Drosophila melanogaster: one gene and its partners. The protein of the gene in region 1 interacts with the protein of each later gene in a pairwise test. Each region holds a gene or a part of one and is shown in the gene's direction. Other genes may lie near its edges.

Region 1 (4,298 bases):
CAATGGGAAAGCGGCAAAACCTGCCCAAGATAAGGGCAAAGCTAAGCCAAGATATGATTCCACCAGCAGTCAGCAATCGGATCGCCTTTGGGAGGAAAAGTTCCTGCACGACAGTCAAGTGGCTCTGTTTCAGATCGATTCGCTGGTAGTGGTCAACGACACTCATTTGCAGCCTGCTAGCTCCGCTGTGTCTGCTAACATACCCAACACAAGAGGTGGATCGAAGCAGCAGGGAAAAGTTCAGGCGAAGTCTGTAGAAGGAGCCGAAAATTTGAATAGCTCAGCTACCACATCTGACACTACATTCTCCGCCTCCACCTCCACTGCCAGCACTCGGAGCCGCAAGAGGGCAGCAACCACTAAAACAGCCAGCAAAGCACCTCCTGCCAGTAATTCGCGACCTCGAATGATTCACACAGAGAAAGCCAAGGTGACAAAAGGAGTTGGCGGAGACTCCACTAGTAGTTCGGCAAAGAAAACGCGCTCGAAGACCTATATAAGTCGCACGGAGTCGCACAATCTGAGCCTCGACAAATCCCGCAGCAGTGCCTCAAATATGGTGGATGACTATGAAATCATTTCTCCAGCTACTCATCCGCCAAATCAGATCAGCTCCAGTCCCTTGCACATCAAACAGGAGCAGGAACAACAACAGCGTGTTCAACTTATGTACGATGATAACCTACTGATAGATGCTGCTCTGCTCAGGGAGAAGACTTATGAGAAGTTTAATCCGAGCATTGTTAATGATCTGGAGGAGATCCTCCGCTCTCCACTGAAGCACGAGAGAAATTCTCGTCTTCGCTTTACCAGCGAGTCATCCACCACGCCACAATATTTGCACGAAGAGGAGCAAAACCTTATAAAAATTGAACCAACTTCTCCGGATCTGCGGGAAATGTTGGAGGGTCAGCAAAGAGTCATCGCTCATAGCGGCAGCACTCCTTCGTCCTCTTCATCTGCTAGAACTTCCAGACATCTGCGACAAATCACTGCCAATGGTGCACGGGCAGGCAGCAAGAGAACAACAGGTGGCGTAGCCAGCAAGACGTCGGCATCCCCGGGAGTGGTGGCCAAAAAATCGAACACTGCCACCAAGGTGAGCAGCAGCAGCTCATCCTCGTACCTCTCGTACGGGGTGGATTCCTACAATGTAAACGTACCTGCCAGTGCCAACAACGGCGATGTGGGCAGCGGATTCTTTTCCATCTCGGAGGTCGTTTCCGCAGCTGACGCCGCGGATGCGGCTGCTAAAGCGGCGGCAGCTGGTAAATCGGAGCGGAAAACTCGCAGTTTCGAGTGCGAAATGTGCTCGGCCATCTTTTATGATCGCACCCAGCTGCTGGAACATGTGCACATTCACATTTAAATGGAAGCTACCTAAACCACTCGCCCGGAGCCTTGTATTTTTGAAACATCTTATCCTTATATACAAACAAAATCGGAGTAAATTACCTCAAGGTATCGTGCATCGAAAAATATCGTTGATTTATGCGTTATTTAAAATATGGAACCTAAACCTATTATAGAGAGAATAGTTCGTAAGGCTTTTAAGTTTGTACCTCAGCTTTTGTTTTGAAGAATTGGTATGCTGGAATAAATACATCATTAAATGGTTTTTCATTACCTTAAATTTTGCTATCACGTATAGATTGAATCTGATTGATAAGATGGGCTCATGTAACCTTTTCTGATGTTTGAAATCTCTCCTAGAAATCTTAAATTTTCTTGGAAACTGCGATAGTGGCATGTAATATACTTTTTATAATTGGTTAAATGTTTATAAACTTGCACATGTGGGTCTTAATACATATCGACTGACCTTTGTAGTACATACTCATAGAAACACTGATAAGAGCATACCGGAAGTCTGTGTGTAATTTGAAGCCATGATTATATGTTTTCATATGTGGTGTACGGTGACTTGTTTTCGGCTCATTTGCACAGATTTTCAATTAAAGCCGCAACTGCTAACTGAAGTAGAGATCAAAACGATTCTCACAGAAAAGCGGCTTTCGCCCATCTGATAAATCAATTAATTACCGCCAATGAGCCGTATTAGAATATAAGTAAACGATTTCATTTGCATATGCATATTTATTAATCATGGAAATAGATTCTTATTTAAAGGGGGCGCACCTTTGAATATTGACTATAAATATTTGAATATTGACTATAAATATTTGGATAGTAGCTGCGAAAATATCAGGACACGTAGATACCGTAGTTTATGTTCTAAAAAAAAATATTTCGAATCTTAAAACTATTTTTTCACTTATTTTGCCTTTCTAAGCAATTTTCTTAAATATTGTAAACCCCGAGTGAGGTTCTGGTTATTGATAGTTCTGATGATGGGCCAGTCAAGTCTTGGATCGATGGCATAGAGAGCCTATTGTATTTTTCCATTGTTGATCTCCCACTGAGATGGCAGGTATAAAATGGGCCACATCGCCGGGTGTTCATCAGTTCTCTCAGAGTCGTCGAGCGAGCAACATGAACGTAGTAAAATCTTTGTGTATTTTGGGTCTGGTTCTCGTCAGCTTGATTGCCACCCAAGCAGCCGATGAGCAGGTGGTAGGCGGTGTCAGCCAGTTGGAGGGAAACAGCAGGAAGGAGGCTCTGGAACTTCTGGATGCCACTCTCGCACAGTTGGCCACCGGAGATGGTCCCAGCTACAAGTGAGTTAGAACTGAGTTCCGAATTTAAAATTCATACTAATTGATCTGCTGATCTTAGGGCAATCAATGTGACCTCTGTGACGGGTCAGGTCGTAGCTGGAAGTCTTAACACCTACGAGGTGGAACTTGACAATGGATCCGACAAAAAGCAGTGCACCGTGAAGATCTGGACTCAGCCATGGCTCAAGGAGAACGGCACCAACATCAAGATCAAGTGCTCTGGTGACGATGGCGAACTGGACCGCACCTGGTAGAAGATTCTTCGTGAGAATTGCCCTGAAAGAAATAATAATAAAAAAAAAAACAAGATACACGTGATTTAAAAAATGATTTTTGATTAATTTTCGGGGAACTATTGTTGCAAAGTATCCAATATATTGTTGGGAAAAATAATAGGAGTGTATAAATACTTGATTTGCTTTGTTTACGTTCCGTGCTAACCAATTCCCATCGCTAGGCAATTACACACATACTATACATATACATATATAAGATACTATATATTTATTGAGATAACAACCATAGAAGCTTTCACTCCAACAAAAGCTCCAGAAGCTGACTCACAATCGGAACGGAACAGAGTGATATCATTTCATGTTTTGGTTTTGGTTTTGTTGAGTTTTGCTACTATCGCCGCCATGTCCAACGTTCCAATTGTAGGCGGGATCAGTCAGCTGGAGGGGAATGAGAGGAAGGAGGCTCTGGAACTCCTCGATGCCACCCTCGCACAGTTGGCCAACGGAGATGGACCCAGCTACAAGTGAGTTAAGGCTAAACTCGGTCTAGAGCTTGCCACTTATTAATTGATTTTACTCCAATTGAAGGGCACTTAATGTAACCTCTGTGACGGGTCAGGTCGTAGCTGGAAGACTCAACACCTACGAGGTGCAGCTGGACAATGGATCCGAGATAAAACAGGGCACTGTGCAGATCTGGAGTCGCGCATGGCTAAAGGAGAACGGCACCAACATCAAGATCAAGTTCCCGGGTGAGGACGAACTGGACCACACCTGGTAGAAGGTTTTACCTTAGACCTACATACAGTTTAACTCTTATCTTAAATGTTATACATATGTTATATACTGGACTTAATTATAGATACCCTTAGGGGGGAACCATATTCTTGCGACCTCAGGTAGCGTACAGAAGAGAGCCTTACCTTTACTATCTGGGAGGATTTGTGTACATTTGGTTACATTAAAACATGATCCGATGGAAAAGGTTCTCTTGGGTTTCAGGTACAAGCCGGTGAAGTAGGTTATAAAACTGTTCCGATGTTGGTTAACCAGTTCTGTTGGCATAACCAGTTTGTTTATATCTCAATATATATATCTCAATAGGTGAATCGTATTATCTTTTCTCTCAACTATTGTGTGTGTTTAATTAGTCAGCGTGGGCGTCATCAGCGGTGTCAGTGGATGTTACAAATAATAATTCCCCCTTTCTTGCTGATAATAAGCTTGTTTTTTTTAAATAATCAGAAGACCTTTCGAAAACAATAGACATTAGTAATTTATCAGAAACACAACTGGCAACTGGTAACTAAACTAAAAGCGTCAGTAAACTCCACCCCCTAAAGTCATATATTCATTCTTATCAACCTTCATTGAATAATCATTA
Region 2 (4,128 bases), 1.2 Mb from region 1:
TGTTACACTCGCAAAAATAAATACCAAAATGCCAAACACTCTTTATCAGCTTTCTTATTCTTTTCACTTAATAAGTGCTGAGGTCGTGTTAAATTTTTACATTCATTCGCATTTATAAAATTATAAGTAATAAATCATTAAATAAAGATTCTTATCTTTGGATTTAGCAATGATAGGACTTAAATGTATTGCAACATTTGTTCTATTACCACATAGCTTAAGTTTCTCTGAGTGCACTTTGAGATTGAAGGCTAAGAACTTTAGGGCCTACCTGCACATCTTTAGTCTTCGGCAATCGTTTGAACCGCGCGGAACTGTCACTTAGCAGGTTCTCATTTGATAGCCATGTTGGTCGTCCTGCTCGCATTATTTTGTGCAGTCCAGGGCCAGGCATTGGTCCTCAAGGAGCTGCACACCCTGCATCAGTGGACGAACCTCAGTTTGGGCGACGATCTGTCCAAGGGCAATCGCTTTCTGCCGGTGGATGTGGACATTGAGTACGGCGATGAGGGCAGGCATCGCACCTTTCTCACGATTCCGCGACTGGGGATGGCCACACCCTTCACACTGGCCACCGTCATTGCGGAGCACAATGAGCTGGTGGAGAATCCCAGACTGGAACCGTATCCCAACGAGGAGTGGCACGTGCCACCCAACAATTGCTCCGGCATCACCTCAGCCATTAGGACTTATGTAAGTAATAAAGCATATTTTCCCAACAGAAGATATTTCATGAATATTTATCGTTTTCTCCCAGATCGACGAGTGCTGGCGACTCTGGGTGGTGGATTCAGGGCAGGTAAACTCCCTGCAGTTGTGCCCGCCACAAATTCTCACATTTGATTTGGTGAAGGACGAACTAGTCCAACGACACGCACTTCCGCCCGATTCCTACATTCCCAGCGTATCCATCTTCACGGCTTTGGTGGTGGATCTGGCCGAGAGGGGCACACCCAACCGATGTGTTGGCGGCAGAGCGTATATAGCCGATGCCTGGGGTTATGGTCTAATCGTGTTTGACTCCCTGACGGGACGATCCTGGCGCATAGAGCATGAGTCCATGAAGCCGTCGCCCTTGCTGAGATTAGGACGCTCCAGCAACTCGCAGGCGGGAATATTTACAGTGAGCCTCAGTCCCAGCGAAGTGGAAGGTAGCTATTCAATTTAAATTCTAAATACTCAAAAATTATTTATAATTTCCAATGCAAATTTACAGACCGCTTTCTGTACTTTCACACGCTGAACTCCTTTAATGAGATGAGGGTTCCGCTCTCCCTGATCAACAACGAGACCTTCTGGAAGTCTGCGAATGCCAGCAGGGATAGCTTCCACAGCCTGGGCACCCGAGGAATCCAGTGCGAATCGGAGGTGATGGATCAGTCGGGGAATCTCTACTGCAGCCTCATCAGTTTAGGGGCGCTGGTGAAATGGGAGGAGTCCGTGTCCAACTACACGGCGGATGACCTGCGTGTGGTGGCCTACAATCCGCACAAGATCAAGTTCGTCACGGGCCTCAAGATCAACAGGAATTCCAAGGGAGAGGAGGAGCTGTGGGCCTTGAGCAGCCAGCCGAAACTCTTTGTTGGCGGCGACTTGCCCGCGAACGAGGTCAAGTTCCAAATAATTGGCTGCCGAACCGCTGACCTGCTTGCCAACACGCCGTGTACAGTGGGCGCCGCAGAAACCACGCCCACCAACGTTTAATTAAAACTTAGTTTTAACAAGTTTGAAACTGCGTCAATCGATTACTCTGATTTAAATTGCTGGCTGTAGAAGGCTGGCTGTTATGGCGCAACTTTGATCTATCGATAAATTGCTGACTGTGTTTAGCTGAGTAGTATGGCATTTGATTTGCTGACTGTGGATAGCTTTGTGCTATGGCACGTGCTTAGGGCTTGGTCACACTTAAGTTAGCCAATTAGAAAAGTAAACAATGTCTAACTGGAAGCCGTCAGGCTACGAATTACTAATTAGAAAATCTCCAACTAGACATGAATAGGAAAACCTCTAACTAGATTTGAATAGGTAAACCTCCTATCGATAGTAGCCGGTAAATATCGATATCGAATTACCGGGTGACCATCGGCTTAAGTTCCAGCTCTATGTTTACGTGTAGAACTTTATTTTCGGTTTAGTTTTGTTTACCAATAAATTTCGTTAGCTATGACAAATCTACAACGCTGGCTATTTTACGCATCGCTCTTTGCGATTCCCTATCTCTCCGTTGTTTTGGGAACAGTGCAAACGCCACTAACTACCAAGTATTTCCTGCACATTCAGCTTTTACCACTTTTGCTCCTCGTGATTTTTGGAGTGAGTTTTTGGATATGAATCAATGCAGATAACACCTCTTATTGACTACTACTATATATTACCCACAGATATATTCCGTTTGGACTGTTCTATATAGAACTCTGACTTTTAACGATTGTCCCGAGGCCGCCAAGGAGCTGCAGGATGAAATTCAGGAGGCTCGCAAGGATTTGATAGCCAAGGGATTTCGGTTTCGAGATTAGGAGACTTCCAGCTCGTAGGACTTGTGCATGTTAATCTGTAATTCCATTATTTATAAAAACAAAAATTACGCAAATTTACTCTAGACCGCATTTTGTGTGGGCGGACGCGTTGTTGGGGGCTGATTTCCCCAGGTGTCGGAAGTTTGGTGGCCAAATTATGTTGAGGTTTTGAAAGGATATGCTTGAAAAAGTATGGAATATGTTTATGTTTAATTGGCTTAGCTCCCCTGTGAATTACTCAAAATAAAAAATATAAGAAAACTAAAAAAGTATATGAGGTAAAATACGTTTAAAGAGATTAATAATATTCTTTACGGAAAACATATTTTTACTTAATGAACATGGTATATGGAAAACTCGTAAGTGCGAACCATATATTGCAAATCCATGCTTTGGCTATCTATTTCCAATAAATCAATTTTTTTAAAATTCTCTTAATTACAATGCGAAAGAGAAAAAAATATACTGTTTCAAAACTTTAATTTTCTCTTCTGCAAAATACTGGAAGGAGTTATAATTGCGAAGCTGAATGTTGTGATACTCAAAAGATCCAATATAAACCGATTAATAGCCATTTGAAGTTAATTTGTGTAATTTTTTTTTTAATGGCGGACAATAGTTTGAAAATAGAAATAAATTTCAAGAAGATAATACATAGTTGATGATAAAAAAGATAGTACATTTATTTACTCATGGTTGGGCAGTCTGGAAATCGGCTTTCTAATGGCCGACTGGAACTGGAACGGCGGTTTAAGCGTCAAGCTCTCTACAACAATCAACAGTTCGCGCTCAGCCACCGAACCGCTAACAACACGACCGCCGTTCGTTACGTGCTGGCTATATAACTGCATTTATAAGAAATTCTGAAGAACGAGAAGCCTGAAGATGAGTCACAAAATCGCCGCTGTGTGCCTCTTGATGAGCTGCCTGATTGCCACGGCTTATAGTGCCGCTAAGGTGAGTTTCCGGCTCGGAAAAACCCTTCGCCAAACTAGCGAAAAATCAGCCAACGGGGCCAACTAAGCCATTACACAACAGCCAAGCGTGTCAGGGGCACTCCGAATTGCTTTTACCATTTAGGTGAAGACGTGATTAAGTCGAATAACTAAATAGTGGGGGTATAGGAATACAAAAATGCAAAATAAAAAAATCCATAAAAGAGCTGCACCCTTTTCGTGGCAGCAACAAGTGGCATTTCGAGAGTTTAACGAACTGTGCCACACGTCGTAGTCGTCGGATCGGAAAATGCCGCCACCGTGGAAAAGCGTAGAGCATAATTGACAATATAAATGCATGTGTATGCGTGTATGTATGTGTATGTGAGCTTGGAGAGCGCCCTGTTGCTCTGTTGTTATTTTCATTTGGGCGAAGAACCGGTTCGGAGACCAGTTTCGATTTCTCATAGAAGAACCGGAGCTTGCCGGCACAGCCCCAACTGCAACTTCATTCTACACTGAGCACAATGTTTCCAAGAAGTATCAGCAATTTCAAGCAGAAGATCATTAGTCATATTCCATTTTATCTAACAATTCTTCTGATATACGATACCTTCCTGATTTTATTGGTATTTTTTCATCATTTTATGTTGGTGTATTAAAAATGATCACTCATA
Region 3 (7,751 bases), on another chromosome or scaffold:
TTCAGTCTCACTTTTTTGTTCGATATTCAATAGAAGTTTAGTCAAATAATTTTTCTTGTCGAGTAAAGGTGTTCATCAGTTGAAAGTGAAAAGTTGTGAAAAGAGTAAGTTGTTGAAACGAATAAAAAACACTGGCGAGGCCGCTCACATTTCAATTTTAAATAGGGTTCTCTAATATCATAAACAAAATTCAGCAAACTTTTGAGTCTTCACCAACGACGATTCTCTGCGCACAATTCGTATATAATATCATCCGTGCACGAATTCCATTGCCAGAATCACTTCAAGCACCCATGGCCCACCAGATGCGCAATCCGCCGGAGCGCCACTTTGGCCACCGCTGCGAGAACTGCAAGATATCCGATTTCCAGGGCCGCCGCTACACCTGCAGGTTCTGCGCGGAATACACTTTGTGCGGCAAGTGCTTCGATGCCAACCATCTGCCGGCATCGCCTCAGCATCGCTACTACCATCCGATGAGTGTGTACTATGCCTATGCCGAGTACCAGCTGTACTTCGGCGGCGAGCCATTCTGCGGTGATCACAAAGTGGCCCAGAGCTACAAATGTGCCCTGTGCGATGTTCGCGGCCTTTCTACCGCCCATTTGTTCATGCACCTGCTGCAGGAGCATCGCGACCACCGTGACCACGATGCCTACTTGTCGTTGGTCAATACTCTCTATATAGCGGACAACGGAATGGAGCAACAGGTGCCAGTACCGCAACCTTCTAGCCAAACGCGCTCGACTCGTTCTCGCAATTTAGCAAGCGTTCGACCGGTAGCCGGTGGCAACACGCGAAGCGAACAGCGGACCGAGCAGGTATTTGATTCCGCATTAAGCCTGGCCCTAATGGTTGTGCAGCTGGACAATATGGATTCAACTGCCGCCGACTTTCCTGAACGCTGCTATGAGATACTGCAGCAGACTGAAACTGTGCTTATGCAGCACAGAAGTTCCAGAGTGCCGGACATGGAGGCGATTGAGTCTTTTGTGCGCGTCATCGAAGATCAGGTTGTGACTAGCATGGCCGATCGTCGTCAGCGTCTGGGCGCCTCATCATCCTCACTACATCGGCTGACCCGCATTGAGGCAATCTCTCCTGGTACTAATACAGCGTTAGCTATGGGTATGCGTGCTGCCATGCCCGTTTTGGTTGACCAGCCGACAACAATGGTGCGCAGGCAGACGGCTAGGCGTACTGGAGAGCCTATCGGGATAGCCCTTCAATCGGCGGTGGCTTCGTCTTCTAGGAGCGGAAAAGCGGGGTCCAGCTCTGGGGTAGCCAAGGCACAAACGAAGACGCAAGGAGATCAGCCCACCAAGAAGGTGTCAACTGTCATTACTTCCCCACTCAAGGATAAGCGCTTTTTGTGCTCGAAATTGGTGAGCGGAAATGGCCAAAAGTGGGAAAGCAAATTGCTCAAAGCTACCTTTACCGAGGCAATGTTCTGTTCGATGTTGGCAGACGAAGAGCTGTTCCAGCCGCCAATTGGACTGCCCTGGACTGCGAATTTCATGTTGGACGCAGTCGAGCCATCAGGCAGTGTAAAATCAAATGGGAAACTATTGCTGTATCCTGTTAAGACCAAGGAATTGATGGAACGCTTCTACAGGGGTCTCGCCGAGTACAAAACTTGGATTGGTTATCAGACCGAACCAACTGCCGAAAGCAAGGCAACTGAACTCCCATCCGCTTCCACCAGCTCGGCTTATTTCACAGTTTTGGGCGATATCCCATATGCGGATTCCGGATCGGATGATTTGGAAAGTAATGCATCAGAAGAAATGGCCAGCGATTTGCATGGCGAAGGAAACAGCGATGATTTAGCCGGATTGGAGGAGGACAAGGAAAGCGGCGAGGAAGAAAACGGTGATGAGGACGATGGAGCTTCGGATTCCGATTTCTCTGAGTCAGCCATTTCTCAAATCACCGACTTCATAGATATGGTCATCCAGGACGAATAGGCGGGGCACCCAGCATTTGTAGGAAATAAGCCTCGGTATTTTCATAATTACATATGCATATGTAGTATTTTGAAATAAACATTTCTAAAAGAAAATGACCAAACGATCTGGATGTTTCCTCAGGTTTTTCCATTTCATAGGAAGCTTTTCTCGGATATTTCTCTGGCTAGTGGAAGATGATTTACAAAATCTTATTTGCACATCTAGTAGGCAGCGCTTTTCCATTTTATTCCGGTCTACAGTTGTCTCTATTTGTTATTGCAAAACATTTCTCCGACATCTGAGAACAAAATATAAATAAAGCATTAAACATTTTTCGATAAACCCAGTAACGACGCCAAATTGAACTTCGATCAGTCATTTGATCATATCATTTAAAATGGGTTGCAATTTCTCTGCTTTACCGACCAAATGTAAGGGTTGCGGGCAAATTCGCGCTGACTTTGACCGACGGTACGGTTGCAGTGAGTGCGGATCTGAGGTAATGTACTGCGGCCAGTGTTTTGATGAGGGCCGAAATCAGCACACTGAGACGCACAAGGACGACCGCCGCATTAAGATTATCTACCATCGGTCCTTTCTTGACAAATTCTTCAGCGGCGAGAAGCTGCTAAACGGCGATGCTTCAAAAAGCTACAATTGCGTTTTTTGTAAGAAGAGATTTAGCGCCGAGGAGTTGCAGTTGCACTTGTCCGAGATGCACTCGAATCCCGCGGATGCGTCAGCGTTGACGGTCATGCTGGAAAGGATGAGGCAGGAAGATTTGGAGAACAGAATTGGTGAGATATGGCAACATTTTGGGTAAACAATCTATGCACACTCATTGTGATTGCCTAAAAGCTTTTGTCACCATTGACACTCCATAATAATAGCAAATTATGTGTCAAAATATGGTTATGGATACATATAAAAGGTGTCCACTGTCGGCTGTCGTGGCAACATCTTCAAGTATCGTTATCCCTCTTGTTCAATGATTGTATACATATACATATTTTTGTTTTGACAAATCATTTTTCGCTTCGTTGGTTGTCCAGCATTCCATTTGATGGATTTGTCTACAAGTTAGATAATGAGAATGTCAAGATATCGATTTTAGGTGATTATATTTCGATGTAACACTAAATTCGTATTGTTTAACTTATTGGCCAAAAGAACAACATTTAAGTTTAGTTTTTAAGGGGGTGGAAGTGTAAAAATGACGTCATGTTGTTTTGATGGGGGGAAAGCCAAGTCGAGGGTTGAACCACGAGGTTCACCCTTAACCGCAACTATTCGATGCACCCCAAGTGCAAAAATATTGAATTACTATAAGTCTCCCTTTGCTTTCCTTCCTCCTCCACAGCCACAGAGATTCGCTGCCAGGAGAAGTCCCGCGGGGGATTGAGCTATGAGGTCATCCTGGCCGAACCGGCACCCAATGTGGCCGTTCCAAAACGACCGGTCACCCCTGGCAAGAACGTTAGCGTCGAGGAGATTGAGCAGAAACTTAAGGCGGCCGAGGAACGTCGCATTGTAAGTACATAAATTAAAGAATTAAAGTTGTTGTAAAGCAAGTGAAATCTTGTTTCCCCAGTCTCTAGAAGCCAAGAAGATGGCTGACATCTCCACTAAGCTGGCTAAAGTCGAGGAGGCGACTCGCAAAAAGGATGAGATCACCAATGAGTTTATTACTCAGACCAAGGAGCAGCTGGAGTCGAAAATGGAGCTGCATGTGGAGAAGCGAGAGGCCATCATCAGTGACATGAAGGAGAAGCTAAAGGTAGGCTACCAAACCTATTGCATCCCATAGTATATTCCCAACTAACCAAGTATTTTCTTCCGTTTAACGAAAGATCCATGCCCAGGATATCGAAAAGACGCGTGAGACTCTTGAGCAGCAGAAGGCCAACGAGCAGAAGGCAATCGAGGAAAAGTTGAAGATTGCTCAGTCTCTTCGCGATGAGAATATCAAGAAAATGTTGGATCGCCTAAAGGAGCATGTGAGTCTATAGCATGGCCAAAAGTTTTCATTAAATCTAGTTTATGATTAGATGTATGTAATTATAATATTCAATACCCAAGATCCCATAAGTCTCAACAATTACTTTATAAACATTACATTAACTTACATTCATTGCTGGAATATAAAATTGAAATGACACATCATTTTGACTGGACTAGCAAACTGGTTAACATTTAGTTAGTCATTGAGTGTACGAACTATAAATAAGTTATCATGCGTTCATATAATTTTGGTTTTTCATTTCTCTTATATCCTCTCATTTAGAACACAATCAAAATTGCCGAAATCAAATCGCAGAACGATCAATTGGAATGTCAAAAGATCGAGGAGAAAGCGCGCATTTATGAGAACAAATTGTTCGCCGCCGAGCAGAAACGCGAAAAGGAATTGCAAAAAAAAATTGAAAAAGTTCAAAAACTCGTACGTGTTGTTCCCCCCCACTGAAAGCGACAATTTGCCCTATTGTTTGAGTAGCACTTGGCAGTAGTTGCACATCTCCATTCGCAAACGAATATTAATCCTTGATTGCTTTCCTTTCTTTCAGGAACGTCGCGCTGAGCTCGTGCGCCAGAACAAGGCCCAGGCCCAGGATTTGGATGGTCAGCAGAGCGCCATTGCCTCCTCAGGCTAAGTGGAGAACGATCCTGCATCGAGAGCTGTGCTCACCCACTGCAAACATGGTTACAAGGCGACTACAAAAAGAACAGCAACACTGCATAATACACCAACACATATTTAAGCAAGAAAACCCTTAAAACTGAAAACGATTTCTCAAAATTTCCAAGTATTATGAAAGCAAACGAAGCGAAGGGCAAGGGCAAAGTCTCAAGATACCGCTGAGCGAGTTTTCTCACGAGCTCTATAATGAAACACGAATAAGCTACTATAAAGCGAAAAGAAATGAATGCTTACGGCAAGTTAATGCAAAAAAAAAATTAGTAAAGGAAATCTACATTTAAACTTAAAAGCCCAGGCAGAAAAGCCTATGCAAGTTGAATGCATGCCTGTCATTTAAAATTTCAAATTCTTTTAAAAGTTCACGTTGATTTCAGTTGAAAGTTTAAAACACTTTTTACCTTGAGTTCCAAGAATGTTATATTCGTTTTGGATTCATTATTTTCAAAGTCTTAGTCTTGAATGTTCAAGTTTTTTTTTTTTTTTAATTACTGTGGCATCGACTGAGGTATTCTCAAAATAATAAGCACGCTGTATTTGCATCTATGAATGGCTTTCGCGAGTAAAAATTTGAAAATGTTTTTAATTAAGTTAATGTATACTTTAGTGGTAATTTTAATTTACTAACTTGCAACAACATGATACATATACATGCTGAATATAGTTTTACACTAACAAATAATTTGTTCTTATAAGTTTCGCATTTTCTATCTATAAAATAAATGTCTAACAGAAAAAATACATAAGAAATGCTTATACAATTCAATAAAATCAAATACCATGTAAAACACACGAAACGCATTTTTCCTTTATTTACATACAACACAAACACTAAAAACGCTGATATAGACATTAATATAAATGGAAGGAAACTACGTATAAGCATACATTAATGTGTGTAATATTATATGGAAATGCATATTTTGTCTAACGTCGGGTTATTTTTAGAAATGGGTTTAAGAGGAGAGTGAATGTGGGGGTTATAATAAAAAAAAAAAAAAGTATTTAGGGCAAACCAAATGGAATATTTAGGAAAATTTTTTCCAAAAACCTGCGAGTTATTTTTAATTTTGCACCAAAGGGCGCTTTAAAGATTAGCTTAAATTTAAATCTTATATCGTTATATATGTATGTGTACTCGTGTAAACCTATGGCTTCTACAAATGAATATCAATAACATAAATCTCTTAATAAAAATGTGCATTGGCAAAACAATTTAACACGCACAGGACACCAAATTACCCAGACACGAAAACTTTCAAGCATACTCAAGAAAAAACGAACAAAATATAAACGCAAAGCATAAAATGCTTTGATATTTACTCAATTTATGATATATTAATGTCTAATCCAATGCAATAATCAGCCGAAACATTTTTTGAGTATTGAGAGTAGGAAAGGGTTACAATTTTGAACGATTGATTAAAATACTCACTTTCTAGGTTCACGCATAATTTAAGTTCATATAAGCCACAAATAACTGACCATATGCGAGCAAAAATACTTATAACAATTGTATAATAAAAGTGCATTAAACAAATAAATGCAATATTTATAATTGGTGGATGCTGTTTTCTTCTAAATTAACATTTTTCCTCTTTGCTGGTGTGTTGGGTTTTCGGACTTTAATATGGTACACATATATTTGATATTTCCATTTCAAATTTTAACGCTTCTAGCCATATACATTTTTCTTAAATTTTTAAAATTTAGGTATGATTTAAATTGTTTCACTCCTAAAAATTCCACAAAGATAAGATACAAATGGAAATGGAACAGTGGTTGTGGTCTCGGGTAAGTTCTTGATAGTCAAGTTTCTTACCATCTTAACACAGGACATCATAAGAAATGTTTTAAGTGCGATTTGATAAATGTTTAAAAACAACATGTTTAATATTGATTGTATAAACTTTATGCATAGTCTTCCCAAACATATAATAGAAACTGTTTCATAACAAATTCCAAATAGTTGCTATGTTTTTGCGGCCCCACCTCGGCATTGGTATTTTCCTGCCAGCCGCGCATGGTCACATCTTTTCTGGTTGATAAATTCCAGGGCCTGTGAATCATAATAAGTTAAGTAAAAAGTGCAGATACAACAAACCGCAGGCAGCAGACAACAACCCGACACCCAGACACAATGGCAGCCACATTGAAGCCCTACCTGACCGCCGTGCGACACTCGCTGACGGCGGCGATGTGCCTGCAGGACTTCCCCTCGCAGGTGGTGGAGCGGCACAACAAGCCGGAGGTGGAGATCTGTTCCAGCAAGGAGCTGGTGCTCACGCCCGTCGTCGTGTCGCGCAACGAGCGGGAGAAGGTGCTGATCGAGCCGTCCATTAACTCGGTGCGCGTGAGCATCGCCGTGAAGCAGGCCGACGAGATTGAGCGCATACTGTGCCACAAGTTCACCAGGTTCATGATGCGACGCGCCGAGTCGTTCGTCATACTGCGCCGCAAGCCCATCGAGGGCTACGACATAAGCTTCCTCATCACCAACTTCCACACGGAGCAGATGTATAAGCACAAACTGGTGGACTTTGTCATTAGCTTCATGGAGGAGATCGACAAGGAGATCAGCGAAATGAAACTGGCGGTCAATGCCAGGGCACGCACCTGCGCCGAGGAGTTCCTCAAACGGTTCTAGGTAAGTGTTCCACCTAACAGCCATCGCCATTGAGTCGACGCCAACTTACTCTCGCAAATCCTTTGCAGGTGAAGGCAACCAGTATGGACCCGGTCATGATGCTTTAGTATTTCCAAATGGATTCAAGAATAAAGACGGATTTTGTATTATTTACTCGACTACACCAGTTTTATATGCTATCCCGTTTGGCCGCACCACCACATGACCACTGCGTTCTCGTAGAGAACTTCCTTCTGATTTTGATTCACATCGGCCGGCGCCGGCAACTCCGTCGTTTCCGTTCCGTTTAAGGTCACGTTGTCCCCTTGGGCACTTTGGTCTGTAAAGTGGAACTGCCCCGAGCTGGTGGCTAGAATCGGCATAGCCGGATTGAGTGCCACTCCGTTGCAGCAGTCTGAATGCAGGGGCAGTACGGAAGGATCTCCGTATTTTTTGAGATCCCAAACATTGACGAATCCCC
Region 4 (4,510 bases), on another chromosome or scaffold:
AATTGTAGTGTTAAGTAGTATTACTACTCCCATATATTATACACACGGAATAGGACACTTTAAAATGAGCTTAGCTAGGCTTATTAAATTTCTAGAAGATTTCTTAAGCTAAGATTTCAAATTCATTATACTTTTTTTTAAGTCAGTCGGTTCTACGAATTTTATTTTGTACTTAAAGCAAATACTGGTTTCTTAGAGTGCATTAAACTACCGCATTTATGATCGACATCGGAATACGAGTAATCACAGTCAGGGCACAGGACACAACAATAGTGCACCATTCGAGATTTTTCAGCATTTCTTTTTTTTTTTTGGCGGCAGGCCCGGGGTCCTACCTGAGTCACATCCTTTGTCGACTCAGGCCTGCCCTTTGATTTTGAATTTTTGAATTTCATTGCCCGGCTGGAGGCTGTCGGAATTTGAATTGGACTGCTGGGGTAATGCAACCGCAATTGTTTCGCCCCCTTTGTTCTGGCTGGCGTTTTGGCATGTGCAGGGATTCTCTTCGAGCGGGCAAATGAGTTCCGTTCTGGATTCCCTTTGTAGTGGGTTATGCAGATGCATATTCCTTAAGATATAACAAAATGTTGCATCACAGCTGCCCAAACACTGGCCTCTAACGGAGCATTCGGAGATCGGAAGATGGAAAACGGAACCGTTTTAGAGATCATATCTGTTCGATATTATAATTTTTGAGTTTTTACTGTTTACATAATCATTATTGTTTTAAAAAACATTGCCACAATAGATTACCAAACCTGCATTTCTGTAGCGTACATTGTGGAGCTCGATTTACAGTTGTAGAATGCTGTTCTTAAAATTTTGAATATGGTTTTAAATTGTTCTGTATCCAAAGACAACTGCAGTTTTTTTAATTTCACATAATACGTTGGTATTTTAACAACAAATAATGTTAATAAAATTACTAAATGGGCTAGTAGGCCAATTCCATTTGGCCTGTGACTTCCCAGAAAACTGTAAGGCTCGAATCTCCGGAATTCGTGGGAAACCCATGGTCGGATCGCGTCCTAGAACGGAATGGCCAATCCTTTCGCATAATGTGCCCACATTAACACCACATCGATCTAATCCCATCTAAATCATTTATAAGCGACAACAATTACCGTGGAAATGAAGATTTCATTGGAAATCCCGCAGCAGTGGCAAACAATATGCCCAGTATTTACATTTACAAATTATATATAATGTCTTATCCTGCAGCCATTTCCCGTCAAATGATCCCCGATAACCTTCTCGGGAGTGAGAGCAATCAATCGAGTGCAACACGTTCTAACGATTTACATGTCAAGTTGACGAGATTTGTCCTGTTGAACAATGGACTGGCGCTTCGTGTGTGTCCAGGTGTCCCCTCATACTTAAATGCCTGCCCATCGATTTCGGTTTCGATCGGGGTTTCGCTTTCATTTGTCACTGCTGTCTGACACCTTGTTATGCGGAGATATCCATCGAGGGCCCGAATGCGAAGACTTCCCCCTTTTTCGAGCTAAGCAAACACAGTTGCGGCAGTTTCAAAATTTCGATTATGCTCGCGTGATAATTATGCATGCAATCGTAAGCTTCCCTCCTGAAGTAGTTTGACATACGCAGTATAAAATAGTATTGGGTCTGGAGTTCTGGTTTGGTTCGGCTTGGCTTTATCGGTCGACGACAATCGGTCTCATTGTTTCCGTTTCCCACCGTCTGGCTTTGCCTTTGTACGAATTGCGTCTTTCGAATGGCCCCATCCCCATCCCAATCCGAATCCCAATCCCCCGTCCCCTCCCCATTCTCGAGCCGAAGTTGTCCAGCTGCGGCAGTAAATTTTATGGTTAACTACGGTCCGACATTTGTGCTATTTAACCTTTTTGTGCCATTGAGCTTCGGGGCAAAAGATCCCCGATCCACGTGCGACTCTGTTTGCTCTGACTCTGGTTCATATGCTAATGGGTGTCTGGTGGGGGCACAAACAAAACCAAGTACTTCTTACTTACAACCTGTAGTTTGAAATTTGAGTTCCTGGACATGTTCTCCATGATTTTAAATCTACTAGGTATGTAGCAAGCTTAGTCGCACAATTCACAACAAACTCTGGAATTGACAGACACAAAACTCATAATTTCCTTATACATATCGAGCGACGCCAAGTCACATATAACTCATTTGTAGAAAATAAGCAGAAGGCTTGAAATTTAGCAAATTCAGTTTTTAATTTCGGCCAGTGATAGGAAATCCTGCCAGTGGAAAAGTGCAAAGATGGAGGAGTATTCGCGGGAACCGTGTCCCCATCGCATCGTCGACGACTGCGGAGGAGCCTTTATCATGGGCTGCGTTGGAGGCGGGCTCTTCCAGGGACTCAAGGGATTCCGGAACGCACCACAGGGACTAGGACGCAGGGTCGCCGGCAGTGTGGCTGCCATCAAGACCAAATCTCCGGTGATAGGTGGAAGTTTCGCCGCCTGGGGTGCAGTGTTCAGCATTGTGGACTGCAGTCTGGTCCACTTTCGCCAAAAGGAGGATCCCTGGAACTCGATAGTGAGCGGAGCAGTTACTGGTGGAATTCTGGCCTCACGCAATGGAGCGGCGGCCATGGCTGGAAGTGCAATTATCGGTGGCGTACTGCTCTCAATGATCGAGGGCTTAGGCATATTTTTTACACGTTTCGCGGCGGAACAGTTCCGAAATCGTGAACCGCATATCATGCCTGATGCCAATGAAGGATACGGTGACTTCAACTCTTCCGGATTTGGATTTCCGGGTGCTCAGCAGGCCACTGCAACTAGCTAAATTCCGATTTTTCTTGTCTGGGTATATTAATACGTAGTCCTTTTTGATTTTCATAAGTGCTAGATTTAGCAATATTCCATTTGAAAAATTCGATGACAATAAAATATGGACAAAATTGCAGTATTTCCATTTAAGCTGTTTTTGCAAAGGAACCAATTTATTAAATTTCAAACAATTTAACACGGATTTATAATTATTAAAATACAATTAGCTGCCGTTTGCAGCTCGTTTTGGAAGAAGGAACAAATGCAATTGGCCCTCTTATCGTTCTCCGTGTTAATTCATTCGTATTCATAATCATTATTGCCTCAACAGGTAGTAGGTTGTTTCACACTTGCCCGAATCCACGACAAAGACACCTGACACGTGTCATAGGTCAGCGTGAGATATTGGCAAATGTTTACCTGTTCCAGATGACTACCTGCGATGCTGCGCCGGCGCATAGAGTCAAGTGTCCGGTCGGCGGGTGTGGCCACTTTACAACCTGTCCACTCGAGATGACCGCGGTGTTCTGGCCATTAGACTGAGTGAGGTACTGAGTGGCACTGGCTACCGGCCACATGTCCTGCTCCTAGCTGGAAAGTCTCGAGCGCACTCAAATCAGAACTTTTCCCCCGCAAGGCAAAAAACCAAAGGCAACGCCGATTTCCCAGCAACACATGGACGGTGGGAAGATGGGAAGTCGAGCCCAGTTATAAAATCGTGGGAAAACGCCGCCTACAAGGAAATCCCTTTTCGGCCGACATGGAAATTTCTTGAATAAATGGCCCAAAGAACATATGTAACTTTGGCTCGTGTGTTTTTTTTCCGCGAGCGCCGACTACTCGTAATGTGTGCGAGATTCCTCGCCTTGAGGAATTCCGCAACAAAACATTTGGACACGCCTGGCGCTACGGGAAAAGCACAGCAACATCATCATGTGGCCCGGCCAGGATGTGTGGGAACTGGAGAACTGGGGAATCCAAGGAGTCGCACCTACGCGCATAGTACGTGCTCCGGTCCGGCCAGCTCACACATGTGTAACCAGTACCGCCAGTCCTGTTTGTTTTCCCAGCTCCGCAGTTGGAGTTCCGACATATGTGAGCGGGCCAGGAGAACTCCCTCATGGGAAAACGGAGAGCCCAGCGAAGTCGAAGGTAGGACCAAGGTGAGAGAGACTGGCACATGGGACTTTGAAGGTACACAGCTATCACAGTTACACCGCAAAAAATGTCAACTAGTTTGGAAAACGGAAAATATATGTTGAACCTCTTCTATTTTAAATAATTAAGTATGTAAATGGTATGAAAGGGTATATTTAAATGGTTACGATGGGTTTTAACGATAATCGTATTTTACGAATTTTGAAGTATTTTGTTTAAAACAAACACCGTTTTGTTTAACACCGTTCAAAAATCCATTTTATGTCAATATTTTTCTAAGTGTAGATAAGGCACCAGGCCAAATAGTTCACACCTTCGCCTGGACAGGCTTGAGTTTGGTATTGAAAATGGGTCCGAAACGGGGCATGTGGCAAGCACATGTTTGGCGTTGACCAACAAAACACCTCAATGCGAGAAATCAACCCAAATGGAAGATTTTTCGCATGCTGCGCCCGCATGGCGCTAAACGCGAGCCATTTATCAGGGATGTTGAGGCTAATAGAAAATTCAAGAAATTTCACAGCGAAATATATTTAAAGGATAAAATCTTGGTTTGTGAAAACAAATTTAATAAAGCTGCCAAT

What was found.
Region 2: the proteins of Cys (region 1) and Dpm3 interact in a two-hybrid assay, tested with the Drosophila melanogaster proteins (one large-scale study listed by BioGRID).
Region 3: the proteins of Cys (region 1) and stai interact in a two-hybrid assay, tested with the Drosophila melanogaster proteins (one large-scale study listed by BioGRID).
Region 4: the proteins of Cys (region 1) and Tim17b2 interact in a two-hybrid assay, tested with the Drosophila melanogaster proteins (one large-scale study listed by BioGRID).

The regions. Positions count from the first base shown.
Region 1 is NT_033777.3:14,567,804-14,572,101, reverse strand, and holds Cys (Cystatin-like), read left to right. Parts: upstream 1-2,457; 5' UTR 2,458-2,493; coding exon 2,494-2,678; exon of another isoform or gene 2,679-2,736; coding exon 2,737-2,932; 3' UTR 2,933-2,999; downstream 3,000-4,298. Other genes in the region: CG7987 (uncharacterized protein), read left to right, coding at 1-1,369; CG8066 (uncharacterized protein), read left to right, coding at 3,317-3,438, 3,503-3,695.
Region 2 is NT_033777.3:13,401,024-13,405,151, reverse strand, and holds Dpm3 (Dolichyl-phosphate mannosyltransferase subunit 3), read left to right. Parts: upstream 1-2,100; 5' UTR 2,101-2,163; coding exon 2,164-2,313; intron 2,314-2,381; coding exon 2,382-2,516; 3' UTR 2,517-2,593; downstream 2,594-4,128. Other genes in the region: yellow-e3, read left to right, coding at 346-693, 758-1,151, 1,217-1,704; GILT1 (Gamma-interferon-inducible lysosomal thiol reductase 1), read left to right, coding at 3,402-3,473.
Region 3 is NT_033779.5:6,118,465-6,126,215, forward strand, and holds stai (stathmin), read left to right. Parts: upstream 1-2,209; 5' UTR 2,210-2,346; coding exon 2,347-2,746; intron 2,747-3,309; coding exon 3,310-3,479; intron 3,480-3,540; coding exon 3,541-3,726; intron 3,727-3,799; coding exon 3,800-3,946; intron 3,947-4,233; coding exon 4,234-4,389; intron 4,390-4,513; coding exon 4,514-4,600; 3' UTR 4,601-6,189; downstream 6,190-7,751. Other genes in the region: CG31642 (uncharacterized protein), read left to right, coding at 294-1,967; Arpc4 (Actin-related protein 2/3 complex, subunit 4), read left to right, coding at 6,785-7,291; WDR79 (WD repeat domain 79), read right to left, coding at 7,468-7,751.
Region 4 is NT_033779.5:15,482,584-15,487,093, forward strand, and holds Tim17b2 (translocase inner membrane 17), read left to right. Parts: upstream 1-2,145; 5' UTR 2,146-2,253; coding exon 2,254-2,784; 3' UTR 2,785-2,962; downstream 2,963-4,510.